Alligator mississippiensis: one gene and its partners. The protein of the gene in region 2 interacts with the protein of the main gene of each other region in a biochemical or structural test. Links are inferred from orthologs where the notes say so. Each region holds a gene or a part of one and is shown on either strand. Other genes may lie near its edges. The genes, in order: HRK, BCL2L1 and PMAIP1.

The links.
Region 1: the proteins of BCL2L1 (region 2) and HRK interact in a biophysical measurement, tested with the Homo sapiens proteins (3 studies listed by BioGRID and IntAct, with this or other methods). The link is inferred for Alligator mississippiensis from reciprocal best matches to the Homo sapiens genes BCL2L1 and HRK.
Region 3: the proteins of BCL2L1 (region 2) and PMAIP1 interact in a biophysical measurement, tested with the Homo sapiens proteins (3 studies listed by BioGRID and IntAct, with this or other methods). The link is inferred for Alligator mississippiensis from reciprocal best matches to the Homo sapiens genes BCL2L1 and PMAIP1.

Annotation. Positions count from the first base shown.
Region 1 is NC_081833.1:23,411,539-23,422,072, forward strand, and holds the start of HRK (activator of apoptosis harakiri), read left to right. Parts: upstream 1-6,106; 5' UTR 6,107-6,332; coding exon 6,333-6,647; 3' UTR 6,648-6,694; intron 6,695-10,534. UniProt on the Homo sapiens protein: Promotes apoptosis.
Region 2 is NC_081832.1:1,640,694-1,651,898, reverse strand, and holds the start of BCL2L1 (bcl-2-like protein 1), read right to left. Parts: upstream 4,658-11,205; 5' UTR 4,571-4,657; intron 3,662-4,570; 5' UTR 3,592-3,661; intron 2,537-3,591; exon of another isoform or gene 2,452-2,536; intron 2,424-2,451; exon of another isoform or gene 2,203-2,423; intron 1,924-2,202; 5' UTR 1,820-1,923; coding exon 1,268-1,819; intron 1-1,267. UniProt on the Homo sapiens protein: Potent inhibitor of cell death. Inhibits activation of caspases. Appears to regulate cell death by blocking the voltage-dependent anion channel (VDAC) by binding to it and preventing the release of the caspase activator, CYC1, from the mitochondrial membrane.
Region 3 is NC_081826.1:281,968,119-281,978,660, forward strand, and holds PMAIP1 (phorbol-12-myristate-13-acetate-induced protein 1), read right to left. Parts: upstream 5,247-10,542; 5' UTR 5,140-5,246; coding exon 5,094-5,139; intron 4,768-5,093; coding exon 4,655-4,767; 3' UTR 2,173-4,654; downstream 1-2,172. UniProt on the Homo sapiens protein: Promotes activation of caspases and apoptosis. Promotes mitochondrial membrane changes and efflux of apoptogenic proteins from the mitochondria. Contributes to p53/TP53-dependent apoptosis after radiation exposure. Promotes proteasomal degradation of MCL1.

The DNA of each region.
Region 1 (10,534 bases), on a different chromosome or scaffold from region 2:
TCTTGCTACCGCTTCCTCACTGCCCCAGCCCAGGGAAGCGTCAGTGCTTGCCCCTGCCTGCCTGCTGCAGGGGGCTAGGGGAGGGTTGGGCTCAGCTGGGACAAGGGCAGCGGTGCAGGCAGGGAAGGGAGACCCCTCCTGCCCATCGTCGCTGTCGCTGTCCCCTGCTGAGTCCTCTGCTGCACAGCCCCGCTGGAGCAGGCGGAAGCTTCCCCAGCCCCTGCGACAGCAGGCTGGGGAGGAGAGGGGACCTGCCTCCCAGCATGAAGGGGAAGGAGGGGGATCCCTCCCTGCTTTGGGGACTTTAAAAAAGCTCCCAGGGTGCGATCCAATTTGAAAGGGGGGGACAGCCACACCACTGCACCCCTCTGGATCTGCCCTGGCATGCAACATAATGCAGCTCTGATTGCGAATCAAGTAGTAAAACTATAAGCGTATGACATTGGTTCATCAGGGAATGATGGTGGATAAAACCATAAGCAAATAGTTGCTTTCAAACAGGGCAATTGTATAAGCCCTGTCGCTTAAAAATAAGGGACAGAAATTGCTTCTAGTACTCAGTGCTACAGGAAGTTAGGACAGGAAGCTCTCTGTCCTGCATTTCAGGACAGGGCCAGGAAAGGGTCATACACTATTCAGTGTGTCATTCATACAAATAAATTAATTGTAACACTAGTAAGGCAATCAGTGCTATTCACAGAGAATCAGGTCAACCGGGTGCCTCTTTTACCATGTCCTAACTGTGGTGGCAAAGGACACTGCCTTCCTTCCTCATGTGACTGGCCAGAACTTTGTTCTTCATCCTACTGGGTACAGGTGAGACCACAGGGGTCAATCTATTTGTAACTCCCAGCCTTGATTATTGCAACTCATCACTGGAGTAAAGCCAGGGAGCCCCCATGAAAGTTCCAAATGGTACAAATGCAACAACTTGTACGTTTAGAAACACAGGAGATGGTAAATGCACCCCTTCAGTGTTGTGCAGTCTGAACTCTTCTTTCCCCTCCTACGCCAAGGTGTGAAGGATAGCTTAAAATCTCATATTCAAAATGTTTTGTGAGATGGTCTCCTGCTACCTTAGAAAAAAGCCTCTCCCCTCCATGACCCTTTAACATATCATAGAAATTAAAGTCTGCGAGGGACCTCAGAAGATCACTGAGTCCAACCCCTCTTTGCTGGGCAGGAATGGTGCTGAGATCAAATGATCCCAAGCAGGTGTCTGTCCAGTCTCCTCTTGAAGACTTCCAAAGTTGGGGACTGCACCACATCCTTGGGAAGACTATTCCTGATTCTGGCCACCCTTACCATAAACAAGTTCTTCCTTACATCCAACCTGAATCCATCCTCTAACAGTTTATGGCCATTGCTCCTTGTCCTCCCCTGGGGAGCCCTAGTGAACAGTTTTTCTCCCAGCTCCTGATATTCACCCTTTACATACTTTTAGATGGCCACCAAGTCCCCCCTCAGTCTTCTCTTCCTCTGGCTGAACAGTCCCATATCTCTTAGTCTTTCCTTATAAAGTTTGTCCTCCAAGCCCGTAAATCGTTCTTGTGGCCCTTCTCTGGACCCTTTCAAGATTCTCCACATCTTTTTTGAAGCGTGGCGCCCAGAACTGGATGCAATACTCCAGCTGGGGTCTCACCAGTGCTGAGTAGAGAGGAAGTATCACTTCCTTAGCACTGCTTGCAATGTGTCAGCTAATGCAACGTCTAGAACACAGTGGTGGTGGGAGAAAATATTATTGGGGGGGGGGGGGGGGCTGGAGGACCGCCCCTCCCTCGTGCAGGGCTGTTGCGGGGCCAGCATGTGGCAGAGGCACTGGGCATGGCTGTGCAGTGGCAGGGCATGGCAGTGGCACGTGGAGGAAGGGGAAGGAGGGGGATCCTCCTCCTTCCCCTTCCTCCGCAGTGGAGCTGCGTTTGGGGGGAGCTAAGCCCTGTTAGTCCCGGCCTTCTGCTGCCTATGCTAGAACATCTGTGTTTCCTCAGAGCAATCAATTTGCAGAGACTCCTGGAGGCAAGAAATAAAGACCTTCAGATATAATCAGGTTCAGAAATAACAGTAACCATCAGTATCATCAGTTACCTTCAAAGCTATGTTTACACTCCTTTCTTCATCTTTCCTTTGCTTGTTGCTCTCTCACATACACACACATAACACAATAGAGGCACCTATGTATGCCAATATACAACTATAAACTAATGTGGCTATTTATCCTGCAGGCTGGGAATGAAATGAAAGCAAGTTATTTCTATTGTTAGATACTTGGAAGGTGTTCAGATATTTTCATAGATTTCATAGACATTAGGGCTGGAAGGGACCTCAGGAGATCATTGAGTCCAGCCCCTCACCCCAGGGGCAGGAAGTCAGCTGGGGTCACAGGATCCCAGCAAGATAAATGTCCAAATGTCTCTTAAAGAAGTCCAGAGTATGTGCTTGCTCCACCTCTGGTGGCAGTCTGTTCCAGGCCTTGGGGGCTTGGACAGTAAAGAAGTTCTTCCTTATGCCCAGCCTGAAACGGTCTTGGAGGAGTTTGTGACCATTTGACCTTGTCATCCCATGGGGTGCTCTGGTGAACAGATGTTCCCCCAGATCCTGATGTACACCCCTTGTATACTTATAGGCAGCCACCAGGTCCCCCCTGAGCCTGCACTTTTCCAGGCTGAAGAGTCCCTTGGCTCTCAGTCTCTCATCATAAGGCCTGTTCTCCTGCCCTCTGATCATACGCATGGCTCTCCTCTGGTTATTATAGTAATGGGAGTTATATTGGTACCTAAATGGACAGAATAGCCACATGCCTAGTTCAGAGGAGCCAGTGCAATCCTTGAAATACTGGAATAATATGCTCTTTGTGGCCACAGCTACTAAGCAAATGAGGCTCAGATTTCTTACAAGCGATCTCAAGGGTAGCCTGCACATCATCATAATTGGGACAAATTCTATCCTGATGTAAACGAGTGCAGCTACATTGACTTTATTGGGCTTTTCCTCACTTACCTGTGGTTTTTTCCATTTACACACTACAGCAATCTACTTAGAGTACCATAAACATCTGAATAACTGGTCAGGCTACTAGGCCTGTGCAAAGCACTTAGTATTTGCTTTGGATTTGGCCGATTTGGGGCACAGTAATTTGAATCACTGTCCTGAATCGATTTAGCCAAATCTGATTTGGAGATTTGGCTGCTGCTGAATCAATCTAATCTCTGAATCACACAGGTCTCATCCCCCACCCACTTTCCCAGCCCCGTCCGCCCCAGCTCTTTGACAAAAAAAAACCCCACTCACCGGCTGCTGCCAGGCAGGAGGCGATCCCCACTGCCCCATGCCATGTGGGGGCTCTGCCAGAGCCCCCCGCCCTTGGCTCCCCACCTGGCCTAGCTCCCGGCATTTAAAAAAACAAAAACAACTCCCCCCCCCTCCACTCACTGGCTCCTGCCCAGCAGAAGTGATCCCCACTGCCCCACACTGCCCCACCATGAGCCCCCAGAAGCAAGCCCCAAGGCTGCTGCAAGAGCCGGTGAGTCAGGGGTTTTTTTTTTTTTTAAAGGCCTGGGAGCTGAGGCAGCCATGGGGGGTGCTGGGACAGCAGGCGGGGGGCAGAGGCGCTCAGGGGGGCTGGCGGAGCAGGCAGGGGATGGAGCCCGGCAGGGGTCCCCCATGGTTCCCTCCCCCTTCCTCCAACCTCCCCCCCCACCGGCTCCTATTTACCAGCTCCCAGTCCGGGTCGAGCTCCCTGCTGCAGCCAGCGGGGACTACGTGAATCGCCAAAGCTCTCCAAATCTTTTCCAAATAGATTTAGACCTTTTAATTGGTCCCCTGATTCAATTCGGATTTGGAGTTTCGGCCACCGAATCTCCTTCAAATCAAATCAGCACCTGAAGCTTCGCACAGCCCTACAGGCTACCATTGAAGTGAAAAACTTGTTCTCCCTGAATAATAAAAAATATATCTCTGGTCACTGATGGAACCTCCGATTCGAGGAGCAATTGAGGATCAAGGAAGCCCCCTAAAATGCTAATTTTATTGACAAAAGATGGACATCCCTCTCAAACACAGGGGCAGAAACCAACCAGGCCCTGCTCTGTAGGTTTCTTGCCAAACCAGTGGCTTCACCTTCACCCTCCCAGGGGCGGGGTAGGGGGTGTAGCCTCAGCTAGTTCCCTCTTATCCACTGCCTATAATGGCCAGGCAAGACTGAACCATTTAGGTACAAGGATAGTGGACACGGAGCTTTGCGTTTTTTCCGCACTGTTGGTATGTTTTTTATTCACAATGAATTTTCTTTTGAAGGAAACTGGTACCTGGTTCACACATAATTGGGCATAATGTCAAACAGATTTTGGACCTCGCTGCTTCATTTTACTAGCTGAGAGGCCACCTTTCAGGAAGAAGCCTGAGCATCCAAAAGCATATCAAGAATGTCACTGAACAAAATTATCTGTACTTCAGCCACAGATGTGGACATTATACCATCCAGGCACAAAACCACCTGGAAAGAAACGGCCAGGCCAGTCTAAATAGATTATCTTACCTAGAAAGAAGATAACATTTTCCTCATAGAAAAAAAATGCTTTACTCCATGCCAGGTAACAGCAGTTTGGAACAGTGGACTCAGTCCATCCTTGCCCAAGAAGATGCTATTATGGATGAGAATAGGGATGGTCACTCTACTGAGCACCTTGTCCTTCAAGTTTCTTTGAGCAAATGCATCTTTAATGAATGCTGTATTGAGCTATATCGAGCATGATTAACATTACCAAAGGCTAATTTCCTCTCTGCACAATAGAAATCCCTATCATGAAGGAGAGGATGCAATTGTTGACCAGGAACATCGTCATGGGAGAAATCCTCACTGAAATATGGGCCAAGTGTCTAACATTTTGCTTTGGGAAATACAGCTGCTAGGAGCACCGTATATCTGACCATTGCCATGTCCTCTGAAATCATGGGGAAACAACCCAAACAATAAGAAATCCTTGATAAACCTCGGGGACTGATCTCAAATTACACCTGAAGTGCACTTGCTTTAACTTTTAAAACAAAATAAAAATTGTCTTTAAACATTTTTAAACATTTGTTAACATTTGTAAAACAATCATTCTTCACTGGGAATTACAGTAACTCTTTGTGAAGTTGTGTTTAAAAACGTGCAGAGCACTGCTACAAACAAGCCTCTGTCTTTCTCTAGCTCTCCCTGGAGCGGCTGTGCCAGTAAATGCTGTGGCTCCCGTTTGTTCGCATTGGTCAACTGCAGTTGCCGCTGCTTAGTTCTGCTCGATTGGTATCTTAAGCAATTTCTGGTTTTTCTTCTTTGCTGCAGGTTGCTGTCTGTGCATTCTGAAAAACCTAATTAAAAGATAATGAACCAAAAGAACCCAACCAACTCCAGCCCCTTCCCTCCGACACTCGGGATAGATGCCACTTGGATCCCAAAAGGAAGAACTCTCTCAGGAGGAACTCAACTCACACAAACGCTTGATCCGATCTGTACCCCACCCCAATTTTTAGCACTCGGAAAGGCTTCTCTCAGGTTGAGTGCCCTCGTGGCGAATTTCAACCTGTAGCAGTTGTGCGCCCTGCAGTTTACAAACCCATAAGGACCAGAGATTTGCTGCGGAACAGGTAGCAGGAGAAGCGGACCTACAGCAAGGCAATTGCTTCTAGAGGCGGGGGGGGGGGAGAGAGAGATTTTGGCTAAAGATGAGCCCCACTTAGTTGCGTGCATGTGAAGCGGGCTCCGGCCCGCCTAAGGTCCAAGCGCCGAGTGGGCTTGCAGGAGGATGGAGTCCGCCCTCCGGCTGCACGGGGATTGAGCAGCACTTTCTTTAAAAAGTCCCGACCCCTGGGAACGCTGATCCTGCCCAGCAGCTCCGTGTTCAATGAGCTCAAGAAGCATTTGCTCCTTTCCTGTAGTCAGGGGCACGCTCCTAAGACAGGGCAGGACCAGCATCGGTGCGGACTTGGGTACGTGACGGGGCGGTGGCAGCACGGAGGTGAGCGCGGGGTCCGCGCGGAGCAACACCGCGACAGCACGTGTCCTGGGCGCCGCGTCCTGGCCGGCTCGGGGGTGCGGTGGGCCGGCGGGGCGGGGCCCCGGGCTCCTTCGCTCCTCCCTCCGCGCCCCGCGGCCCAGGTGCGGCGGCTGCGGCAGGTCCCGGGCCGGGGGCTGGAGCCGAAGCGGCGGCGCGGAAAGGGTTACGGCCGCCGCCCCGGCGGGGAAGGATGATGTAACCCCCCCGCCCGCCTCCCCTCCCCTCCCCTCCCCTCCCCGCCGCCGCCTCGTCCCTCCCCGCCGCCCGCACAGATCCGCGCCGCGCCGGGCCAGCCGCATGCCTGCCGCCGCGCGGGGCCCGGCCGGGCCGGCCGCCGACATGTGCCCGTGCGCCCTGCGCCGCGCGCCCCCGCCCGCCCTGCCGCCCTGCGCCCCCGCCCCCGCCCGGCCCGCCGAGCCGGCCCCCGGGCCGCAGCGCGTGGCCGCCCGCCTCAAGCGCCTGGGCGACGAGCTGCACGAGCGCACGGCGCGGCGCGGGGCGCGGCGCGGGAAGGCGCCGGCCGCCGGCGGCCTCGCCACCTGCCTCTGCCTGCTCTGCGCCCTGGCGCAGGCGGCCGCGCTGGCCTGGCTGGTCCGCAGGAGGAGCCCCTAGGCGCCGCGGCTCGGGCGGGAGCGGAGACGGAGCGGGACGGGCCACAGGTACGGACGGGACGGGTGGGGGGTGCTGCGGGCGGGCGAGCGGCGCGGTCCAGCCCGGGGCTGCCCTGCCCTGCCCTGCTGTCCCGCACGTCTCGTGCCGCCCGGCTCTGCGCGCGGATCCTCGGCCCCCGCCCTGCCCCGGCCTCGGCGCCGAGAGCCCGGGCCGGGGACGCGTGTGCGCCCAGGATGGGGGAGTCTGTGTGCGAGTGTGTGTTTGAATGTGAACAAGTGTATGAGTGTGTGTTTGAATGTGAGTGTGTGTGTGTGTATCAGTGTGTTTGAATGTGTATCAGTGTGTGTGTGCATGTCTGAATGTGTATCAGTGTGTGTGTGTGTGTGCATGTCTGAATGTGTATCAGTGTGTGTGTGTGTGTATATTTGTGTGTACGAGCGTGTCTGAATGTGTATGAGTGCGAGTGTGTGTATGAGTGGATTTGTGTGTGTGTGAGTGTGTGTATAAGTGGGAATGCATACAGGGGGTCGGACCTCATGATCTGTTTAGGTCCCTTCCGACCCTAAGCACTATGATATTATGATAGTGTGAGTGTGTATGAGTGTGTGTGTGTGTGAGTGCATGTGACAGCTCAGTGCCACTGACAGAGGCTGCCCTGCCAAGTACGAAGTGTTTCCTCTGCCATGTATTTTTTCACAGTTTGCATCAGTTTTTTGCAAGAGCCAAAAACCAAAACAAAAAAAGAGACTGATGAATGCGGTAGAGCTGCTGCCCGGAGCCAAGAGATAGTGTAAAGTCCATTAAATTGCCTCAGAGAACATAATGGGCTTGAGCCCGGTGTCCAACTGCGTTCCACAGAGATTTCCCTTGGGTGGCACCTCGCCTACTGGGAAGTCCCCAAGGATGGAGAGCGCACCCACCCCTGGCCGGCCACTTGCCATGCCCCAGGGCAGCCTTATTGCCTGCTGCCTGCAGCCCTTGTGCAGTGAAGAAACTTCACCTGCTTCATCTCATCTCCTAGGCAACCTGCCGCCTGGCACCGGGTCAGGGGAGCAGTGCTGCTGCCTGCCCCTGGCTTAGGCGTGCGAGTGCGGGCAAGTCCCTTGGCTGGGACTCACTGGTTCATTGCACTCACTGCTGTAGCAATGGCTTGAAAGGTCCTGCCAATAGCTCACGTAGATGTGCTTTCCAGGAACTGTTCGCCTGTGCAGCACTAGCTCTCCTCTTCCTTGGGCTGGGCTGGTCCTGTCTGCACCCGCTGCCGCTTCCTAGGGCACATACATGCGACTCTGTGGCTTCTAAAGCAGCTTTCAGGCACTTACAACAGCAACTAATGCTGTGGCATAGGGGCACTCCTAAACTTAATGCCCTGGGGAGACTGATGGGTGAATGATCTCTCCTGACTGTAGAAGCATTGTGCAGTCTGAGCATGACAGCTCAGTTCCATCAGTTTCACACACTGTAAATCCCAGAGGGTTGCTGCGCGCCTTATTTTGCTGCCGCCTCCTGGGGTTTAAATAGACAGTGCTTACCCAGTACCAAGAACACTGATGCTTTACTAGAAAAAGTAATTCTGAGGGGTCCCCTCCTGCTGTTTTAGGGATCAACTGATTTCTCACATGAAGGAACTTTAGACTTCTGGGATTAAACCCAGTTATTTCTTCTTCCAAAATGTAGAGATTGTCCCTATAAACCAAACCCAGAGAGGTAGAAACCTATCCTGCTGGTAGGACACCACTTTTTCTACAGTCTATCTAGTTTCAATGTTCTAGCTCCTGTGATCGTTGTTATGCTTTCTTAGATATTGTTCTTTATTAAAGAAGCCATCACTAATTATTTTAACATTCAAATGCCAAGTGCCACATGGCTCCTTGGTTGTGACCCATTTCCCTAGCAAACAAAGGAACCTAGTTTCTATTCCTCTCTATGCTGGACTGCAGATATTTTAAATTGTCATCTATATTTTGTGCTTGCATCAGCTGAGTTTAAGACGGTTTTTGCTAAAAATGATCTGCAGTGACAAAGGCAAAGCAATTGGCCATTTAAATTATCTCAGTCATTTTTCAGAGGTAATATTGTATTGAAAGGACAGGAAAAAATTCTCACCTTTTAGATGTTTCACACACACACACACACACACACACACACACACACACACACACACACACACACACACACACACACACACACACTTTTTATATAGCACAGTTCCAGAGGAGAGGGTATTATCTGCCTGAAGGAGTTTACAATTTAAGGCCCCAGTTCCAAGTAGCACGTAAACATACACTTAAAACTGTACATATCAAGGAAAGCACTGTGGTGAATATTTAATTTCTAGCGTAACGGGTTTCAACTTTTTTTCATTCGCGGGCCCCTTTGGAAATTTCCAATGGAGGTGTGGATCCCTTTTGAATTGTAAGTTTGGATATTCACATACTTTTGATTGATCATAGTAATTTTTCATGGACCCCTTTGATAGTCTGTGGACCTGAAGGGGCCCATGGACTGCAAGTTGAAAACCACTGTTTTAGCATATGAGTAAGTTTCATTGACTTTAGTGGTGTAGGTTGTAGCCGTGTTGGTTCAAGGACATAGGCAGACAAGATTAGTTGGGTAAATCCGATATCTTTTATTAGACCAATTCAAATAGTTGGAAAAAATCTTCTTAGATTGACTTCAGTGCTACTTATTTAAGGGCTTAAAGTTAAGTATGTGACAAAGTAGTTTCCTAAATTGGTGCCTTAGTTAAGACAAGAAAAAAAGGGATGGCAGCTCAGGGAGGGGAAGGAAAAGGGACGAAAAATACCATTTTCACCCATTCTGTTGTCTGTTTGTGACTTTTCTGGTCAAATCAAGATTGTGCTTTTTAAGGCAGGATGCCTAGTACATTTTTTAGGTGTTTTGAAATAATAACTAAATATACAATCACTCAAAGAACTTCATCTACAGTGTTTTAAAATAGGGTTTAAAATATATGTGCACGTGTTTACATTGCTTGTACTTGCACACAGACACACACATACCACGTGTATATAACATTGTGTTTGTGTGTGTGGTGTACACTTATATCTGTCTGTAAGTTCAGTCAGTTCATGTCCAGAAGTCTTTCCCTGCAAGCAGAAGACTATACTTCCTAATTTAAGCAGTAAATTCCAAAATATTGGGACTGGTTTGTTCAGGAAGTTGTGAGGATGGTAAGTCACTGAATTCCTAGCTGCTGGATGAGAATGTGATCTAGTGGTTAGAGAACAGTAATGGGAGTCGGGAGTAGATCTGTGTGATCCCACCTCAGCCCCCATCCAGGGTTCAGTTTGAGATGAGGTTCATGAATGCAGAGGTGCAATTTTGTTTACAAGTGTTGGGAAATGAACCAATGTAGATTTGCTTGAATGTTTGAGTTCAACAAACTTGAATCTCTAGGGAACATTTGTCGCATCTCACTTGCCTTTTCCATTATAACAAGACGTAGCAGCTCCCTTTTTATGTTGCAGTGTGGGTTTGTGGAGTTGTTAAGAGTATGTAGATAATATAGTTGTTGTAAGAGGAAGCACTGGGCATGGGAAATATTCATCAGCCTCTTAATTATATCAGTGCTCTCAGTACAAGCTCGCCAGGGCTGTGGGACAAATCGCACCAGACTGTGGACAGAAGGAGCTGTGCTGACTCAAAGTGTTCTCCTCTTCATAAGCAAATATACAAATATGTCTCTCTCAAAACAGGACCTTTTTGAGCCTGGAAACAATCTTAGGAATGATATTAAATGTCCATATGTGGGGGACCACCAAGCTAATGACAGAAACTATGGTTGCCATGTGTCCAGTGTCAGAACCATCCAACTCTCCTGGTGAGTTTCCAAGCAACAAGCAGCAGCACAAGCAATAATAGCA
Region 2 (11,205 bases):
CTTGCATGGGGGTTGCAAAGCAGGGAAGAACCCCAGCGCCATCCACAAAACAAGGGGGCTGCTTGTAACTGGAAAAAAATCCAGTCTGTTCAGGCAGCCACGCCCCAGGCAGCGGCCCCAGGACAACCACATTCCAGGCATTCCTGGCCCTGGGTGCTCAGGCTCCCTGCTGCCTCCACCCTGGTGCTGGACCTAACACTGGCTTTCCACAAGCTCCAAGAGGCCCTTCCAAGTCACCTGTGCCACTAGCAGCCAGAATGCGAGGCTGGGCTGAAAGGAACTAGTCCCCATGCTCCCCCAGAGCTTTGGGGAGGGATTAGTGGTTATGGCTACAGAGGTGTTAAGGTGAATGCAGCTTTTCCCCACTGCCACAGGCTCACCAATGTGCAAAGGTGTGATATTCCTCTATTTAAATGCCAGGAGCTGGCGCTGTGTCCTCCCTTCTCGGCAAATACTAATACAGGCAACATCACAGGGACGTGGGAGTAAATAGTGAGCAAGATCATCCGCAGACCATAATACCTCCCCCTGGCAAAATTCCACAGCAAAATCTCACAGGCCTAAGCACTTCCACAACTCAGGCAGCCCAGACGCTACCAGAGCATGTCTCTGGAACACGCAGTAACATTCATACAAGCCTGTGGACAGCACCCTGCGTACACTGCTCAGGATCCAGCGGGCAGCAGCAGGCTGTTTGCACTGACTCTGCACTTCAGTGCTACCTTGCAACGCTCTGCTGATCTAGGGCCAGGCTGCCAGGTAATGCAGAGGCCCACAGGAAGCAGGACAATCTCTAGCACACTTCACTTGCAAATGAAGCAGACCAGGGATTCCCGTTTCCATTGCCTCAGACCTCACCACACCAAACAGTCCAGGCCTAGCACTAAGAGGTCCCAACTGAACAAAGAATTGGCTCAGCCCTGGGCTGGGTCACGGACACTCCAGGTCAGACCTAAGAGATGGGCCTTCTGTTTCAGACAAAGCCTGGATTGTAGGTGCACAAGGCTCTGGGAAACAGGCCTTTGTACAGAATGGCCAAGGAGATAGGCAAGACAGCGGGATGAAAAGGGCCCACCAGAGGGCAAGCCTGGGTAGCATCCCCTTGCTCCACCACAATGGAGTGACCCTTCATAGCAAAGAACACAATGGGAAAGGCCCTGCACCAGTTGTTCCACCCTGGGCACCAGGGACAAGGGCTAGGATGTGCAATGCTGTTAGCAAGGCAGAGGAGAATGGGGAGCTCTCCCTTGGAGAAGGAGCTTCTTACCCAACCGCCGTTCTCCTGGATCCAGGGGTCGAGGTGGTCGGTCAGGTAGGTGGTCATCCACGAGACAATACGTCCAACCAGCACCTGCATTTCCTTGTCGACGCTCTCCACACACAAGGCCCCTCCGAAGGAGAAAAAGGCCACGATGCGCCCCCAGTTCACTCCATCCCGGAACAGTTCATTCACCACCTGCTCGAAGCTCTGGTATGCTGTGCCAGGGGTGATGTGGAGCTGGGATGTGAGGTCACTGAAGGCCCTGCGGTACCTCAGCTCAAACTCGTCTCCCGCCTCCCTTAGCGCCTGCCGCACTTCAGCCGCCGGAACACTCTCCTGGGCTTCCAGGTTGTTCCTGTGTCCAGCAGCCCCATTCACTACGTGGCTGGCAGCGGGATGCCAGGACGGACTCCCGTTCGGGACACTTGCCATGTCCTCCTCTCCTGCAAACTCAGTCCTGGTCTCATCCTGCCCCTCAAGCTGACTCCAGCTGTGTCCTCGCTGTGACAGCTTGTAGGATATAAAGTCAATCACTAATTCCCGGTTGCTGCTCGACATTTTCACACTAGGGAGATTCTCATCGAGTCCATGGTCCAGAACACCAGTGTGCTTACCCAGTCCAGACTCTCCTTTTCTCCAGGATCTGTGCAAGCATCTGACCTCTGAGCAGACAATTAGAGAGCAGGGAAGAAAAAGAGGCAAGAACATATTAGCAATGCAGCATTTTACTTCCACTTGTAGCATTAACAACAGCAGCTTCTTACTGCTCAGAGAAAGCAAGCATCCTTGAAGCTACACCTCAGGCTTCAGGATTTAGTCGCCCAGAAAACTGGCAGCAAAACATCCATTTCAGCAACAACTAGGCTAAGCCCCCTTGGATTTGCTTTACAAACGACTGCAAGTCGCATGCATGCGCAACACATCCCATTCAGCCGCCTTACATGGTCCAGGTACAGCTTGAGAGCTCCTTTGTGATGTAGCTCCACATAGGGTCTAGGGGGTCTACCCCCTCTGCTAAAGGTCTAGGAGGCTCAGTCTCCAGCCTCCAGCTCTGCCTTGTCTCAGGCAAAGCCTCAGAAGGAAAAGCAGCTCTGGCTGAAGTGATCATGCCATGCTGCATGCTGGAAACACGAAAGCACAGCGAGGCCCTGAAGCCCCAGGATCTCACCCTCTGCCTATTCCTCCATTACCTTGATTGAGTGCTGCAGCTCTGCAGCAGAGAAGCAAAAGGCCCTCCCTCCTTCCCTCTCAGCCTCACGCCCCCTCGGTCTCCGCCTCCCATAGAGGATCAAAGCTCTTCCTGAATTTTTTAAAGGGACCAGCACTGGGTGAGGCCTTCAAAATATGTGCTTGTGCTCTATTGACCAACAATGGCACATTAAAAGAACAATGAGGCCCCCTCTTACACCTATCATAAAGCTCTTCCCAACAATGAAGGAGGCTCTGAAACAATAGCAGCTGGCAGCCAGCACAAGGGAGTTTGTTTGAAGCTTAAAGCATCATTTTCCATTTTCCCTTCTGGAAAGGATTAGCCCCGGGTCAAGTTTCACCAGCTCCCAGGTGTGCTGAAGGTACGCAGTTCCTCTGGCCAGACCTCGGGAAGTGTTACAATGGACCCCTTGCATTTCAGTGGGATCCCAGGAGCTACAGGCTCACTCCCCAAACCTCTCCTCTCAAGAACAGTGGCAAAGGAAGGAACACAAAAGAGCTGTAGTGCTCCTAAGAAGTTGGGAAAAACTAGAAGCCTATTAATCTACAGAGTATTACTTACCTACATAGTTAATAGGTCAGTAGGAGGAGGAACATGTACACTCACAGATAAGGAAAGACAAGATCTAACGCCCAGCAGCATTTTGAGGGAAACCCCAGCATTCCAGAGACTTACGCTGGCATAAGAGAGGAGCAGAAATGCCCCTGAGGAAGTGTGTCCTAGATACGTTCTTTTCCCAGTACACCACAGACACTCTCTGTAGTGGAGAAGTGACTTACCCCTAATGTTATTCTAAGCAGTCATTTTTCTGGAACCAGATTATTAACAAACCTTACTGTTTCAGAGCTAAGAGCTCCCTCCCCACAGAGCATGCACTGGACCGGCAGCCTCTGCACTGGCTTTGCCTGCATCTCAGCACTCCTTGTTTACAGGATTGTCCTCACTTCTGTGTTTGCACTGGAAGCAGCTGCTCTCTGCCCCATTTCCACCCCATGCTCAGGCCTGGGGGCAGAGGACACGCCGGGTGGCCCCACCTCGCCCTTTCCGGGTGCACCAGGGACAGACACACAGGCTCTCTGGATTCGTGCTGGGGAAGGAGCATGTGTGTTTCTGTACTCACCCCCAGAGAGGAGCTGCAGGGAGAAAACTCTGGGCTGGGAAATCTCAGCAGGCTGCGCCTCCTGGACCAGCTGCAGAGACACTTCAAATTAGTAATTTGACACAGAGAGCCTACTCCCTTCCCCGCCCCCAAGGCACAAGCCCCGCCCCCACCCTCTCCAAGTCCCTCCCTACTCATCTCTGCTAAAGGGCAGATGTTGGGAGGAACTCAATACATGCCAGCGCTTCTCCCTCTCTAGGGCACCCCTGGAAGGCTCCTCACCGCAGCGCCAGGGTGGCAGATACAAAACTAAGGCTTGCCTTAAAAGACCATGCAGTTGGTTCGGCTATTCGTATAGGGGAATCTTGAGAGATTTTTCGACCTCTGTCAGCCCAGGTGGGATTTCCCAACACCCGCTGAAACCGTGCCAGCTCAGCCTTGCTCTCGCTTCCCCTGCTGGGACGTTCCCACCGGGGACCGAGACGGCGGAGTTTCCCTGGGGCTCTGCGGCGTCCCTCGGGTGCAGGCGGAGACGCGACCTCCAAGGGAGTCGGGCTCCAGTCCGCTCTTCGTGGAGCGACGTTCAGGTGTCCGAAGACGGTGCGAAGCGCCCGCGCTGTGGGGCCCTTTCGCATTGCGCGAGCCGGGGTTTCGCGGCGCCCTCCGCTGCCCACCCAGGAGGGTGAGTCGGGGGTTTCGTGAGCCGCCCGTGGCGCAGACTTGTCCCGGAGCGGAGGCTACGAGGACAGCCCACGGCCGCCACACGCTGGAAGGAGAGGGCACCGTGGCCTGGTGTGGGTGCCCAGGGGGCGCCCCCCCCAGTCTCCATGGCAACCAGCCAGGGGGTCCTGCTGGGGTTGACATCCCCGTTCGCGTGGCTGGGGAACTACTGTGCCCCGCCTCCGCACCAATCCCAGGCAGGGAGGCGGCCGGGGGGGCGGGGACCCGCGGACGGCGCGCTCCCATTGGCTGCCCTCCGTGTCCGTCACGCCGCCCTCACCTGAAAGGCCGTTGAAGGGCCCAGCCCCTACCCCTTCCCTCCCCCGGCGGAAGCGGGCGCTACGGCCGCCCCTCAGGGCCCCGAGCCGCCTCAGCGGCCCCCAGCCGCCGTCTCCATCGCCCGTTCAGCGGCAGCCGCTCTCCTCAGCGGCTGAGGGAGGGGAGTGCGCATGCGCGAGGGCCGTGCCGGCTTGGGGCCCCGAGGGCGCATGCGCCACTCCGGGGCGGGGTAGGAGGGTGAGTAGTGGCGCATGCGCAAGAAGGGGGTGGGGGCGTTGTTGACCCAGTGAGCATGTGCAGGACGTTGGCTACGTCAGAGCGTAGGGCTTTGGCGCCCCCTCTCGGCTGCACTGGGGAATGGGCGGGTTGGTGTTAAAGGGCCCGCGTCCTTCTTATGCTGTTGGGTGGGGAGGGGAGAAAGGGAGGGGTAGAGACGCTCGGTCAGGCTCAGGAGGCTGCAGAACTGCCCTCCCCCCCCCCCCCCCCCCCCCCAGACCACCATAATCTTCACCCATCCCCTTCCTGGCCTGGGTGGCAGGGAGCTGCAGGACCCCCCCTCCCCCCACCCCACCATAATCTGTACCCATCCCCTTTCTGGCCTTACCCCAGGGTGCATCAAGGTGCTGTGCATTTGCCCTGGTGCCCTGCTCACTTTGGCATTCTCTGAGCAACGTGTGTCATGGGCTGCTCTGCTTTTCTCTCCTCCCCCTGGCCCCAGGGTGAAGCGTGTGCAATGCAGTGGCAGGGTAGGACTGCTTTGGTTTCTAGTGTGTAAGCTGCATGGTGTCTGTATGGGGACTGAAAAACAAAGTTCTTTGGGTACATGCGATATCTTTCCTTAGAACAACTAAATAGCTGGAAAAAATGTTCTTTGTAAGCTTTTGGGTACCAATATCCTCCTTCAGGCATAGGGAGAGTCAGTGGTCACTGTAGACACAAATGGGGAGAAGGACAGGGGGCTTGGAGTGGGCCTTGGTTCTGGACACATCTGCCTACCCTTCAGTTGGGTCCTGGGGGAGTGCTGTGTCCTGCATGAGTGTGCTGGACCCTATTGGTGAGAAACTCCAAGCAGAGGAGTTGTGGCACATCTAAAGATCACCTAGAGCACACAGCTAACAACTCCACTGTTGAACAGCTGTGATGGTGAGCCTGGCACTGCTCTACCCCGGGAAGCCAATGCAGAAAGGGCAGGGCAGGATGGGTGTGTTCACATAGGCCTTCATGACAAGGAGAAACCTGTTCTTTGCTGGCTGGAGTTCCTAAGAGCTGATGGCTTCCTGCCAGGTGTACTGTGTTGCTGTAGGCTAGAGAGAGGTGATGGAGACGGGTGTAACCAAGATCGGGGGTTCTTCATCCTCATGGAGTCCATTGAGTGGCATCCCTTATAGACCTGCACTGGTGTCCACTACGGTAGGACTTCTGTAGAGCAGCATTTCCCAAACTTCTGGGGTCCATGCTGCATTACAGCAAAGCTGGCCACTTCTCTCCTTACCATCACCTTTAGCTGACAGTTTTTGTTCAGTGCTGTCGAGTCATATTTTGCTTGTTTGTTTGCTTTCTGTTAAACTCTGGTCCTGCCTTCCAGGAACTTTTCAGGGTGCTTGCCCTATATTTTGAAAATGCTGCTTTAGAGAACAGGTATATTCTTAGTATATTATATAAAGAACAATATAAGAACAGTCATGCTCAAAAGTTACTATTTGTGACTTTTTGTGCTTTTTTTTTGTTGTGAATGCATACTTCCCATTTGGCATGAAGTATGATCTGTTTTAACTGGTGTAGCACCTAGTCTTCCAAACAAGAATTAGAAGAATAAAGCAAGCCATTAAGTAATGGTCCTTAATTTACCATTTGAGTTCTGTGATTCTGTAAATTCGCAGTGGTGATTGTGCGCTACCATCTGAAATTCTTGCTGCCTGCAAAACAGGACATTAATGCAGTTGTTATAATTGAGCCATCTGGCTTTGTTTTGGCTTTTGTGTGTGACTGTGTAATCTTGTGATTGAGTAACTGTTCTGATTTGCTACTGTTTTCAACTGCTCTACACAGGAATAAATCAGACTGGGAGCTGCAAGGTGGGGAGAACTGAGTCCTTAAAATAGTCTTAAAAATTAAATCATTGGCAATGGTTTTGTTTTGGGTTGTTTGTTTGTTTGTTTTTTACCTTTAAGTATCTTAAAAGTATACCTTACAGCTGGGTAGGAATGAATATTTAGTGGTTAGGAGGAATGTGAGTCTCCAGAATGACTTGTCAAATTGCCCTGAAAGCACGATACTAATGCTCCTTTTAAGCAGCAATTTCAGGGTGAAGCTTTGAAATGCTGTTGTTCTGTCTCTGCTCTTGGGCAGTGTGGCAATGCAAAGAATCTTGTTGGGCACTTTTCCCCCAAATGTTTCTGTGCAAGTCATGGAATCCTAGAAAAATAGATTGGAAAGGTCCTCAGGATGTCGTCTACTGCTCAAGGCAGGATCATCTCTTTCTGACCCAACCTAGACAAGTGCTTGCCTAGCTTGTTCTTAAAATTACACAAACAACCCTGTCACAAAACTACAAGGTATATTGCCCCCAAACTGTAATTTGCCACAGGTAATGCACTGCCAGTGTCCTACTACTGTAGCCAGCATCCAGTGTGGCTGAGGAAGGCAGTCCCTGCCCAACACAGGACAGGGGGGAAAGGAAAAATAATCCTTCCTGGCCCTGTGTGGCAACCAGCAAAGCCCAGAAGCCTGGAGAAAACACCCCCATCCACTCTGCTCAGCAACTGGGGACAGCAAACCCCACACATGTTGCAGCTAGAACTCTCCTTTCCATGACCCCGTCTTCTCCATAAACTTATTCCAGCTCTATCAATTTTTATCGCTAAGCCCGTTCTGGAGTTCTGCTTCATTCTCTTGCTAGCGAACAGAGAGCCTCCTCCCTTCCCCAGTAGACACCTGTATACAAATAGCTGAACCGAAGTGGAAGGGAAGAGGCTCTTGGCTCGCTGGTCTTCTCCAGTACCCATATGCTCTGGACTGCAGAGCCCTTCTCGCGATACCCCAACCAGGGTTCCTGGTCTTCCAAATTTGCTCTTTAGAGCGCACTCCTGGCATAGCTTCTCCAGCCTCTTGAAAGCCTCCAAGGATGGAGATTCTGCAAGACCTTCCTAGGCAGTTAGTCCACTCCACAGTCTTTCTCCCAACTGTGAAGAAGTTTCTCCCAATGTGCAATCTGAACCTACTTTCTGCAACTTTGAGCTACTGCTAGTAAATCAGTTTGACCAAAGCATGGTGCGTGTTTGCAGCTCCTGCATTGGGATAATGAGTTGTGGGACTGCATTGCACTGCCTCTGGGGATATGGTTCATTTGTGACTCCACCAGCCTTGAAAAACACTTTATTTTTGCCAAACCAATTCTTGCTGAGTCATGGCAAACAGGGAGAGAAGCCTTGAACTTTATCCCATTGCTAGGGGCCCGCAAGGCCGCTGCATATGCTCACTGCTTCTGTAGGGTTCGAGGTACCAAGTGACAGCTAGCCAGTCTCTTTCTCTCCAGTGCTCTTGTTGAATAGACTGAGGTTTTCTTGTGCGGGTGAGTCTGCACCCCAGCTTTAGCATCCTGAAAGGCTCTGGCTTCATGTTCTTGGAGTGTCAAAAAAAGCTGCTCAACGTGGTGGGGTTTTGCTAGCCCCTGGGGTGATGCCTGCCCTGGAGATTGCTTGCCAGTGCGTGCAATGCAGTTACCTGTGCATGGAGGCACTGGGAGGAGAGACCCCAGGGGCTGGGGGGTAACTGGGGTGCGTGCAACTTTGCACCCTGGAGAGGGGGAACATACCACCTCGCAGTGGGGGAGGCAAGGGGGGCTGGCAGCAGCCCCTTCCCCCGGGTCTGTAGGTGCGCGCATGTCACACCCACAAAATAAGGGACGGGAAGGAAATAACAGGACACAAAAGATGCGAAGCCCTGTGGTCTGTCCGCACCCCGCCCCCATCAGCTGCACAATGGACTAGTCCAGCATCTTCAATACCTCCCCCCCCCCCCCCGAAAGCTGGTGGGAAGCGAAGCCCCGCCCCCTCTCAGCACTGATTGGCCAGCTGCTGCCATTAGTGAACGCTCCTTTTCCTCCGCTTGGTGGTGCCTTCTGGGAGTTGTAGTGTCTCCGCTCCTCTCCCTGCAGGCCGCCTCGAGTCAGGCACACTACATATCCCAGCAGCCTCAGCGCTCGCGGCTGGCTTCCGGGGAGAGCGGAGGGGGCGGGTTGTTTTCATCCGGGGGCCCGGGCCTCTCCCCGCCCCCCGGCGGCGGTTGGCCCAACCGGCGCGGCCGGGCTCCGCTGATTGGTGGGTTTGAACGAGGGAGCCATGTTTCAAAGTCGTTAACGGCGGCGGTGGCGGCAGCGAGAGAGCGCGGTGAGCGGCGCGGCCGCGGGCCTGAGGTGAGCCGGGCGGGAGGGCTGCGAAACCGGGTCACACTTGATGTCTCCCGTGGGGGGTTGCCGGTGCTCGGCGGCGGCGGCGGGAGGGGCCGCGTCCCCGGGCCGGGCTCGCCGCGGAGGAGTCTACAGCGAGCCGAGAGGGGGCGACGGCGAGCCAGGAGGGGCGAAAAGGGGTCGCGCGAAGCCCCCGAGCGTCCCCTGGGGCGCGGGGTCCGCAGGGCGCCCCGCTCCCTGCACAGGCGCTCGCAGGGGCTGTTGGCCGGCGCTTTGCCCCATAAATGGTAGCTCCAGGAGTCCCTTAAACACCCCGCCTCCCCCCGCTTCTGGAACTCAGCACTTGAGGCCTGGTTCGTGTCGCACCTGGGAAACCGGGCCGAAAAACACCGGGGGGCCGTTTGCGTTGAGGCGTCGCAGAAACGGCTGGCAGCGAGCGGTCTCCCGCGCCCCCGAGAGAGCGGCGACCAAGGATGGGCGCTTGCCATTTTCAGCCCGAGGCAAAGAAACGACGAGACGCCGCCAAAAGGAAGGCCCGGTGGAAATGTTGCCCGAGCCGGGCATCGTCCAGAGGCCAGGCCTCCCGGGGTGACCTGCGCCCCTCGGTCACCCCGACAGTGACGCGTCTTTCGCCCCTCTGGGGGGCTGTCTCTGGGCTCTGCCGGGTTTGGGGGTGCGGGTGGCGCCGTTGGCAGTGCCCGCTGCTCGCCGCGAGCCCTGGGAGGAGGTTTCGCACTGGATACAAGGAAAAACGTCTTCACGGTTCGTGTGCCCAGACTCCGCAATAGGCTCGCGGGCAGCAACCTGGGAGATGGGGCGCGCGCCGCGTGGGGTTGTTTGACCCCCCACAGCCCTTCCTGCCCCGGACCCGACGATCTCGCGAGGGCCCTTCCAGCCCTACGCTTGTGCGAACCCGCTGTACTGCACGGGTTATCTGCTCGCCGCCTTTCCCCCCCTTCGGCTACAGGTTTCGTTAAAAGGCCCACGGCTGTTGCGACTGCGCCACGCGAGCACGTCGTTTTAAACAATAAAACAGCCGTGCTTGGAATCCAAACTCTGTCAAAAATCGCGTGTCTCTGTGAGGGCGTGCTTTAATGCCAAGAGATTAATGTTTCCTAGCGAAACGAGGAGCCGGGAAACGTGGCGAGCGAGAGTTCTTCAGCTTCTCAAAGTTGCTTACAATCGGCTTAATAGCGCCGCGCCTGCCGTCTGCCTGCCCCCCGCCTGCGCATGTTGTGATGCCTCCTAAATGTAAAACGAGGGAGCCACGTTGACAGGCGTGCCTTTATTGACAGGCGCGTAATCTCACCGGGTCGTGTAGCCCTGCGCTAGCGCGGCTGCTTCGTATCCCTTAGACAAGGGTCTGGAGTTGTGACAGCTAGCGGACGTCTGCTTTACCTGGACCAAGTTTCTCGGGTAAATGGTGTATAAATAGCACTGATATCATTGGCCACTGAAGGCTTTGAAAACCCAAGGAAATGCCTATTTCTGTGACAGTGTATTGGCTAGACTGGCTAAAATGATATGTTTGGGGCTTGAATATCTATTTTTAGAACACCCTGACTTCGTGTAGTATAAAACTTGATTTACAGAGCATGAGATGTCAGGGCTATCTATTTTTGGGTTGTTGGGAGGGGAGACTGACTGGAAGAGCTATTACTGGGGCATAGTATGTTTGTGGGAAATTCTGTTCCTGCTCACTCGTTCCTCTCTCTGGCCACTCCCTGAACTTCTAATTTATGTTGACAGGGGCTGGTAGATCTCCAGAATTTGCTGGGATTTGATCCGGTATCTACCCAGAGCTGAAGATCTCATTTCTTAAGAGATTGGTATGCAGATGTTACAATAGTGAGCGGGGTTATGTAAAACGGTGTTGGATCCGAGAACCTGAATTCAGCCGGGGCACCCTCGGGAGGAAGGAATGTTGCTGCAGCGTACGGGCTAAGGAGACGCGGATAGCAAGTGGTAAAGGAATTCTGGAGGGGATAAAGGGAAACTAAAACCCCAGTTTCGGACAAACAAACATGGTTCTAACATTGTTGGGAGGGAAAGCACGACTGACCGTTGTGATGAGCCCTCTAATAGTCCTTGAGAAATCAAAATATCAAATGTTGCAAGTCCATTGCTCTGAAAGGCTAGCATTGTCTTGCTCTTCACCCCTTCCCATCTCCCCACACAGTCAAAAGGAAGTTTTGAATCCCCGATACCCAAATATTTATGCGCATATA
Region 3 (10,542 bases), on a different chromosome or scaffold from region 2:
GTAAGGCACTCCATTGTGGCCTTCTCTGGATCAGAGTAGTGCTGCTACTGGGCTCAAAGACTCTAGCATGGGGAGGGGGTGCAAAATACAGCCTGTGAGCCAGATCTGGCCCACCAAGGGATTCTGTCTGGCCTGCAGCAGGGCCCTCAGTCCTGCCCAGCCCAGCCCAGCCATGAGGGTCAGCCCAGGCCATGGCATGTGCCCAGGTGTGCATCAGGGCTGGGGCAGCATGGTGGCTGGACTCTATTTCCCAGCAGCCCTGGCAGCAGTGGTGGCTTCTTCTGGCTGCCACTGTCAGACCCAGCCCCACTGCCCAGGCACCTCAGCCCATCTTCTCTGCACCCGCTGCCAGGGATGGGACCCATGTGGGCAGGGCATTCAGCCAGGTGGCTGGGATGGGGCCATGAGCTAGCGGGAAGCGGTGCCTGGGAGTGAGATGGGCTGGGGGATCTTGGGGTGGTGACAACATGGGGCCAGAGCCAGGGCAGAGTTATGATCTGCTGTCTGCATGCCCCTGGGTTGGGCATAAGTTCTGCAGGCAGGGGCATGCAGGGAACGGATTGTGGCTCTGCCCCAGCCCTGGCCCTGACCCCATCCCCATGCTATCGCCACCTCAAGATCCTGTCCTGGGACACGGCTCTCCCCCTGTGGCCCCAGTGCATTCACATACCAGAATACATTGCCTATGTGGCTCCGGGATTGTGAGGTGGTAACAGTGGGGGGCTGGGGCCAGGGCAAAGTCCCGGTTCTGTGGCAGGGATATGTGGGAGCACATTGTGGCTCTGCCCCACAGTAGGCTGGCCCCATGTTGTCACCACCCTGCAATACCAGGGTCTCCATGAAGACCACCCAGGACCCACATGGGCAGGTGGATGCTCTGGTGCTGTGGGCAGTCAGGGAGCTGTGTTGAAGCTGGGTCCAGGATCCTGGGGCAGTAACGGTGCAGGGACCATGCTGGGGCATAGCCACATTCTGCTCCCTGCGTGCCCCTGCCTGCAGAGCTCATGCCTGTCGCAGGGGCATGTGGGCAGCAGATTGTGACTTTCCTGGGCTCTGGTCCTGGCCCTGGCCCCAACCCCACACTGTCAGTGCCCAGTGACCCTGCCTCATGATCCTGGCCTCCCTTGCCTATCCTCTCACTCCTAAACACTGCTCCCTGCCTGCCCGTGGCCCCATCCCATATAGGGAGTTTATGTGAGTTGTTGGCGGGGGGGGGGGGGGAGGGAGAGGGGGGTGCTGATCCGGCTCTCAACAATTCAGCAAAACTCCCTATATGGCTACGGGCCCAAATAATTGCGCTCCCCTCCTGTAGTGCTTACTCACTGGCAGGTAACCATGCCCACACAGAGACCCTGGCCTGCCAGAACCAGCAGCTTTTGAGGAGGGGGAATCCTTTTAAGTGCCTCCTTCCACTCAAGCACTAGTTCTGGTCCCCTTACCACATCAGCTCCAGACCCAGGACATAAATGAGAGACGAGCTGATTACCCAGGGCCCTTCTTAGTATGTGAACATACCTGGAGTCAGGATTTGGGGGAGGGCGGGGGGGAACCCATTTGGTATTCCTTTGTTATTAAAGTACCCGGGGGGCCTCACTGCACCCTCATGATGAACAACCTGATTTAGCCATCTCCATCCTGTTTGTGACCCCTTTCACACTTTGGCAGGAGCCCAAACCTGAGCTTCCTCCCAGCTGCCTCATACCTGTGTATGTGTTTCTGTCCCCAGTACAAATCTATGTCACAGTGTTAATTGTAGGATGGTTGTATTTCTTATTCTGACAACTCTCAGCTATGGAAGATTATTAGACAGACAGATCCTTTTGGTTGTAATGTACAACTGCTTACCATCCAAGCTAAAGACAATTTACCCCTTAACATGCATGGTAGGGCATCTGACACCTAGCCGAGCAGTTTTGATTCAATCCAGCCAAGAGTGGGGGTGACACACTAACCAGTTTTAAAACTGGTTTCTCCTTTGGAATTCAGATAATTCTTTAAGCTTATAGCTTATGGGCAAGGGATCAGAAATAAAATCCAATATATTTGCAAATCTACTGAAACGTATTACATAACATGAAGCATACCCTTCATTTCCTAGTAAGAGGGATGTTTGCACCTGATTGCTCATTCAAATGGTTCAGAAAATAGAATTACAACAACACAATGTTTTTTGCGTTATAAATACATCAAATTTATTAGCCTTGCAAGAAGTTGGTAGACATAATATCTGAGAGTCAGACAATAAGACATCTTGCTAACTCACAGCATGACTTGAGAAAAATCAATCTCATGTGGATGCAGTTGTAGGACACAACATCAGCAAAAATAACACAAGGACTCCGTGTAGGGAATATATAGATCTCATACAGAGATTACTTATTTGAACTAATTGTCCTGAGCTCACTGTAAACCATATAACAACTAAACCGTCAGCAAGTAAACATGGCAGCATTTCATGAGAAATAACCCGTCATTACAAAGTTAAGTAAGAAATAAGTGCGTTCTCCTAGCTGACAAATTCCCATAACATATCCAAAATCAGTTCCCATAGCTTTATACACTTTTCCTCCTCTTTAATACCTGAAGGTATTGATAGAGACCATTTGAAAGATTGTTCGGTATGTCATGTAACTATATGCTAAATACAATCTCAGAGTATTTGACCTATTAATTCTAATGCTAAATTTCTTGAAATTCCCAGTCGGGCATAACAATTGTGGACTTTGCTGGAGTTTTACCAAAGACTGAACCCCTTAATGTGAATCTAGAGCTTCAACGGCAGTTTTTCTTTTGAATTCAGTTATTCTGAAAGCTAAAAACTAGCCTACCAGGAATTAAAGCTTTAGGATCTAAAAAAATGCTATTAGATGAGTAAATTGGATCACTGGAGAGTTGAGTTGGCCCTGATGTACTAGACTAGAAAGAGTTTGTAATGGAAAACTTCACAAAAACAAACTTTCATGAACAATCATGGGTCAAACTCATCAGTGATTTAGAGAGGAGTTACTTGCATGTGAGAGCCAAGGCAGCCTGAGCTAGATGTGAGTAGTGAATTCCCGGATCTGGCAATCAAAGGATGCACAGCACAAGTGTCATTCGCATCAGAAGCTGAGCAGAATAGGGGAAGCAAGACAGTGAATTCTAGTTCCTTTTCTTCGTACTGCTCCCTTCAGCCAAGAGCAGACACTTTGACATCTCTGAATGTCAAATCCAGGCAGTCTCCAATATTTTGTGCATTATGAGCATTTTCCAAATATCCTATATGAATGTATTTTGGATCATAACATTTAAACAGAAAAGAAAAGTTACTTCCTAATTTCCAAAAGTGCAAAACAAAACATTCCACTGAGGTGAACATAGTAAAGTTTTGGGTTTTTTTTCAGACAAGCACCTTAGTAATACAGTCCCATGTCTGAGGAAAAAATGACAGCCCCTCCATCACTAAAGAAGAGAAATGAGGGTGCTAGTGAATAAAAGCTGAGTTTTTCCTTCTACTTTATCTTCAATCAAAGCTGCTTAGAAGCCCAAACCGGCTACTGTGTAACTCCTATATCATTATCATTCATTTGCATAGACAATTTCTCTTAGAGGTAGTTTTTTTCTTTGGGAAAAAAGTTATTTTCCAGAAAAAATTATTGTTTTGGTTTCAACTTTCTTTCCAAGTTGAGAGTAAACATATATATTTTAAATAAATAATACAATCACAGCTTATTCTGCTCAAGTATCCCTCCTGTGAAGGAATCCTTCCACCAAACATACATCCATAATCTCATTTTTACTAATACACACTTAAACATTCACTTTCTTATTCAGTGATACACTAAATATAAGGTGCCTATTTACTGTCTGAGCAAAGCATGTCATTGTGCTCTGAAGCATGTACTATCTTGGACCTATTTTAACGCATTCTTTACAGAATGATTTAAACAGCCCTCTTCTGCACGGCCAGGCAAAAAATCATGCTGTTAAAATTCACAGAACACTCATTCCATAGCCGTGGGGATGTACCTCGAACATGCACACCAACCGTACAGCAGACTATGATAACAGCAACAATAATAATAACAGAATTACAAATTTAGTCATTCAAGCAATATATTATAACAAGTAACAATTCAGTGGGAACGTATACGTACTTCAGCCAAAAAAAAAAGAAACAGTCCCAACACCAGATTTGTGCACAAATTTTACTTGTTAGAAAATGGGTAGTCAAGAGCCGAGGAACTGGTTCTTCACTGTACAGCCCAGTCTGATGAATAGAAGTCACTAGCGTCCTGCTTCTTGCTTGAGGTGACACAAGCTCAGCAACAGACCATGGCTGCAGGATACAGCGTAGCCAGCAGCAACACAAGAAATCAGGAAACACTGATGAAAACACAAGCGTGTCTTGGCCATTTCCAGGCACCGCTCGCTTCAGTAACGGCAACTGTAATATGCGATTTTTTTTTTTTTCCTTTCCCCCCATATTGGCCACTGCTTCTGCAGAGCTCTCCGGAGAAGTCAGCGGCCTTTCCGCAGGCAGCAACAAACAATACACAGAGCTTAATCTCCCTGGTCTCATTGAAGTTTCTTCTTCCAGCTTTCTAAAGACGAATTCTTCCAAATCTTTGGGTTTCTTCCTGCTGCTTCTCCTTGCCATCATCCTGGGCAGCTTTCACGTTCCAGGGCGGAAAAGTTTTGCAATGAGACTCAAAATCTTCTGGTGCAGGTGCCATTGGTCTCCTATCCGGCGCAGCTGCAGCGCGCACTCTCTCACTGCTTCCCGCTCTGTAAAATAGACGACCAAATGTCATGAGCAGTGACTCCCACGCCCGTCCTCGTGCCAGTGCTCCTCACTCTTTCTAGACCCAAAGCACCCCTCCCTCGGGGGCACAAGCCACCCTCAGAAAACACTGGCTTAGTTTCCCCTCGGGTTTTTGACTAGAGGAGAAGAACAAGAGCCCCCCCCCCAAGGCCAGAGCCGCCTTAACCCAGTGAAGCCCTGCCACCCCAGAGCGGTCCCTGCTGCACCAGGCGGCCTGAGCTGCCGTCCTGAAGCCCCGCGTCCTCGCCTCGCCCCGCCGCGCGGTCCCCGGGTCCCGGGCGCTCGGTACCTGAGGGCTGCGGCGCAGCCTTGCGGCAGGTGCGGCCGGGCATCATGGCTAGGCGCGGGGCGCGGGGCTCGCGTGTCGCTGTCTCTGCCGCTCTGGCCCGTGGCGCGGCGCGCGCAGCGATAAGAGGCGGCGGCGGCGGCGGGGATTCCCGGCAGTGAGGTAGGGAAAGCGCCGGCGCCGCCGCCCAATCCGCGCTGCCGCCCCCGGGGGGAGCCCGGGCAAGCCCGGTCCTGCCCCGGGACCGCCCGCCCGCCCGCACCTGTGTGTGTGTGTGTGTGTGTGTGTGGGGGGGGGGGGTGTACAGTGCACGCGTGTGTGTATGCAGGGGGTGTGTACACTGTGTGTTCATGTGCGAGGGGTGCGTATGTGTGTGTGTACACTGCGTGTGTGTACAGGGGGTGTACACCATGTGTTTCCGTGCGAGGGGTGTGTACATGTGTGTATACACTGTGCATGCATGTGTGTACAGGGGGTGTATACTGCGCTTACATTTGTGCGTGTGCACAGGGGGTGTGTACACTGTTCATGTGCGAGGGGTGTGTATGTATGTGTGTACACTGCGTGTGTGTACAGGGGGTGTACACCGTGTATTTCCATGCCAGGGGTGTGTACATGTGTGTATACACTGTGTGTGCATGTGTGTACAGGGGCGCGCACACAGGGGGTGTGTACACTATTCATGTGCGAGGGCCCTGTACACGTGTGCAAGTGCGAGGGGTGTGTACACTGTGTGTATGCAGGGAGTGTGTACACTGTGTACATGTGTGAATGTGTGCGGGTGTATACACGTGTGTATATGTGTGCGTGCATGCAGGAGGTGTGTACTCATGTGCATGGGGCAGTGTACACGTGTGAACGCATGTGCAGGGGGGTGTACACTGGGGCTGTGTGTTTGTGTGGTTTAGGGGGCGTGAGTTCGGTGGGTGGGTGTCTGTGCACAGTGGCACAGACAGACCCAGGCAGGGTTGTTGTCTTTCCTTGGGCCTTGACCAGAGAGCAGCTGGAGGGCGAGGGCCATCCACGCAGGCCCTGGCGCGGCCGCCTGCCCCTTCCTTCTCTGCCTCAGTGCTGAGTCTGCAGAGCGGTGCCCGGCCGCGGGGCAGGAGGGGTGCATGTCTGGATGCTCGCTCAGTTCTCTGCCTCCCTGAAAAGACTGCAAGGGAGGGCACTTACAGTGGCAGAGCGGTGCCACAGAGGCCTGAGCCGTGGTGAAGAGACAGCACCAGTTTATTTCACAGGAGACCGAGTCTGGGGCTCATGTTCCACCCCCTCCGTTGCTACTGCTTTACCGTGAAGCCTCTGGGGGCTGCTGTCCAGCTCCGCCCTGAGCTGCAGCATTTCCCCAGCGTTCCTCACTTCTCCCTTTGTCCACCTGCACACGTGATTTTCCCTGTTGTTTGGACAGGGCCTAAGCCAAGGTTACCCAGAGAGGTGGTGGACTTTCCATCCTTGGAGGTTTTTAACACACGGTGAGGCAAAGCCTTGGCTGGGATGATCTATTTGGGGACAGTCCTGCTTTGAGCAGGGGGTTGAACTAGATGTGACCTCCTGAGGTCCCTTCCAACCCTCATTTTCTGCGATCCTAAGAGAGATTAAGGCATTGTGCAAGACCAGGGAGGAGGGGCCATTTGGCTTGCCTTGTGGAGTTACATACAGTAGTTGTTGTTATACATTACTATTATTTTGATTAGAAATTAGGGACCAAATCCATTCCTAGTGAAACTCCATCTTCCTGCCCCCTTCATCAGGGAGAAGGGATGGACTTTGCACTATGCCATGAGCCTCTACTGGGCTCTGTCCAAACCTCAGGAGAAGCTGGTTCTGTAGATGGGAAAGTATAAAAGTGGCTGAAGCTGGACAGCTGGGGAAACTTCATTCAGCCCAGACAGATTTCACCTAGTCTTTAATTCAGGGGTGGGCAAAATGTGGCCCAGGGCCCAGATGAGGCCTGCCAGGCCATTCTATCTGGCCCACGGGGCCCCTAAAAAATTTAGAAAATTAATATTAATCTGCCCTGGGCTGCCTGTCATGCGGCCCTTGATGGCTTGCTGAAACTCAGTAAGCGGCCCTCTGCCCAAAACAATTGCCCACCCCTGCTTTAATTAGTAGGTGAAATCTTTCATTCAGGGTCTGAGTTGTAGTAACGGAGTGAATTTTGTAACTAAAACATGTTGAGTACTAAGAGCCATATTTGGCTCAGTGGCCACTTACTCTGTAGCTAGGTAGTCTAGTGCCCTGGCAGAAATTGTTAACTAGAAGGATGGAGGAGGGGGGGCAATGTTTAAGTCTGTTCAGTAGCTTATTGTGCCCTACAGCCTGATTGCTAGTGCTGGGTAAGAGTGTGGGGAGGAATTGGATGAGTCGGTCTGAGCATTTTCACATTTGCATATATATGCTATTATGGCAAGACTTGTATCAGACGGTGGAGATACAGAAAATCCACATTATTTATTTTTGAGATAGCAGTGAGGTTGCTGCTGTCCAACTCCAACAACCACTACCACAGATAGTTTACACCCCGTGGGCCTGATCCCAATACCAGGTCTAGATGGTTGGAACTGCATCTGCAGAGAGGCCCAGTTCATCAGCGATCTGTACAGGCACAGATTCAGCTTTCTTGGATTGTGCTGGGCAAAAAAAACCCCCAAAACAAAGCAAACAGCACACATTTCTCATCATCAGCTGAGTTTTTTCCAATTCTAGCCCCAACAGAACTTTTGTAGAAAACTGACACTCCAGATTTGCATCCAGGGAAATGTGCAGATCTCACCCGAAATATATTCTGTCTTGTATTCCTTAGCGGTAAGCACAACCTGTGATTTCAGGATTCTGTTCCTTTTTTAATCATTTTGATGTTTTGAAATTAGGGTATGATGATTTGGATGAAGCCATAAGGTCACTGTGACAATCCTTTTACTCTTGCACAATTTTAGGATAAAACTGTGTCTGTCTGTGTGAGTCACTAATTTCCCTTCTTTATGATTATTGTGCCTGGAAAATTAGTCAGTCGAGTGTAGAAGTGTGCAAGAAGAACATTTGTTTTTAGGCTAAATACCCAGAAGGAAATGAATACAGATTAACAGAAGAAACAGGGTGGAAGGAGCAGACACACCAAATAACAACAGATAAATTTGTCACTGAAATAAAGTAGCAGAGAAAATAACAGCCACTCCCATCAACACGCAAGCTCTAACGGAAGAAATAAGCTAGAGTATATTTCCATGACAAGAAGTGATAAGCCCTACTCCATGTCATCTGATCCTATGATACCAAATGCCTTGAGATGTTTTAAATGTGGCTATTTGTGCTGGCTCGGGTTTGAGGCCTTCTTGCCTTTTCTACATAATGCACACATCAGGTAAAATCCTTCCCTACTGAACTTGATGGCAAATATTCCAGCAGCCTCGGGAAGATCAAGATCTCAGTTATTGTATTTCCATCTCAGGAACACTCTTGGTTCTTTCATAGTTCCAGCTGCCTTTCAAAAGGCACCAGGAAGAAGACCGTCCATATTGCCCTGGACTGGAGGTGTGGGGAAAGGAGGGAGTGGAGATGAGCTGACCACATGGGGGATTCCAAGGACAATTAGGTTCTTTTAAAAAGATGGAGGTTGAAACTGGAATATGTGCATAGCAGCAGGACCCTTACCATGTCCGAAATTGGCAAACCACTCCATGTGGAGCCCTAGTAGGCTGGCAGGTATATGGGCTATTACGCCCACTCTGTAGCTCCGTGGAGATACTGTTTAGAACCCTGCTCAGGTGCAACCACGACAGTGGACAGTTGTCTCCTTGGGCACTTACTCACATGTGGGGAGCATGCTCCAGCGCACTGGAAATCCAGCACATTGGAGCAGACTCGATTAATTGAGTCTGCTGGAGCACGTAAACTTCATAGATTTCATAGACATTAGGGCTGGAGGGAACCTTGTGAGATCATCAGGTCCAGCCCACTGCCCAAAGGGCAGGAACTCAGCCGGGGTCAAATGACCCCCAGCAAGATAAGCATCCAAACACTTCTTGAACGTGTCCATTGACACGCTCTGACAGCCTTGTACATTATGTGTATCATGTGGTGCCCCACATCACCGTGCTGAGGAAATGGTGGTGGTGCAATAAAACACATTCGATGTGCTTTAATTAAAAACACAACACTGCCATTTTCTCAGCACGGGGATGCACTGTGCTGCTGATACACATGACAGGTGGGGGGCATTTAATTGGCATGGCTTCCTAATTAAAACTGCCCGGTGCCACATTGGAAATGCATGGAAAAACACCCCTTGTGTTCAGTTTCCCCTTCCCACCTCCATCTGAGGTCTGCTCGTCACGGCATAGAAGTTCACTCTGTGCTGATAGGACTGCCTTTACCAATATTCAGAAATAGCTTCTGGGACTTTAATGCAAGACAAGAAGCAGACCAAGGGGGGGGGGCTAAGGATTATAACTAGAAAGATCTTTTATTTAACCCTCCTTTGAAAATGAAATTTCACTGGGTGGATTATCTGTCTTGGATTTAGAGGGCTGGCTCTTGTTTCATTGTCTGTCTGTCAGTCTGATTTTATACTGGCACCCGTGATTATGGTGTCTGAGTATGTTCACAATAAAGTTGATTGACAATAGAAAAGTTGTCAGACTGAATCCTGTGTCACTTCACTTACCCGAAGGGCATGTCTAGCCACCTCACTGCAGTTTTTGGCATTTACACACACTTTGGGAGTCTGCTTCCCTTGTGGCAAAATAAGATTGTCCTGTGTGTGCGTCCTGAAAATGAAAGAGCAGGAGGAGCAGGTTGCCCTCCCATCCCTCTTCCCAATGGCTAGGGCACATAATGAGGGAGGAGAGACCTGGGTGCTAGGCCCCCTCACCTGAAAAGGGGTTGAAATCATATCTCTTGCTTTCTAGCAAAATGATCTCACCACCAGGCTAGGTTCAAGCATTGCCCAGGCTCCTTTCCTGTGCTCCTCTTGAAGCTGGCTCACTGCATTTTGCATTTCATATTGATCGGCTAAAATGGATGAACAGCACTGGGATAGCTTCTGTGGCTACAATTTAGTCATGTACAGAGAAACGGAATTGAGTCCATGGAGTCTCTAACTCCTCCCATTTTTACAAAATATAAAAACCTCTCTTTGGGGCAGGGTCATTTCCTTAGTACATTTTAGCAGGTACCTACCATTGGTACCTCCAGTCTGATGTCCTTTTGAAACAGTCATGCAGTAATCATTAGTGCTGCAGACATGAATGTTCCTTCCTCACTTTTGTCCAATAAACCCATTCTTCTTTGTTTTTTCATATGGCATCAAATATCAACTTCCAAATCTATTAGTCACTGTCTGGCATTATCGCTCCATGTGTGGACTCCAGTAACCACGTTGAACACACCAGTTATTTGCTTGCCACTTTCATTTCTAGAGGGATTTAATTTACAGCAGGCTGTTCTTTTGAAT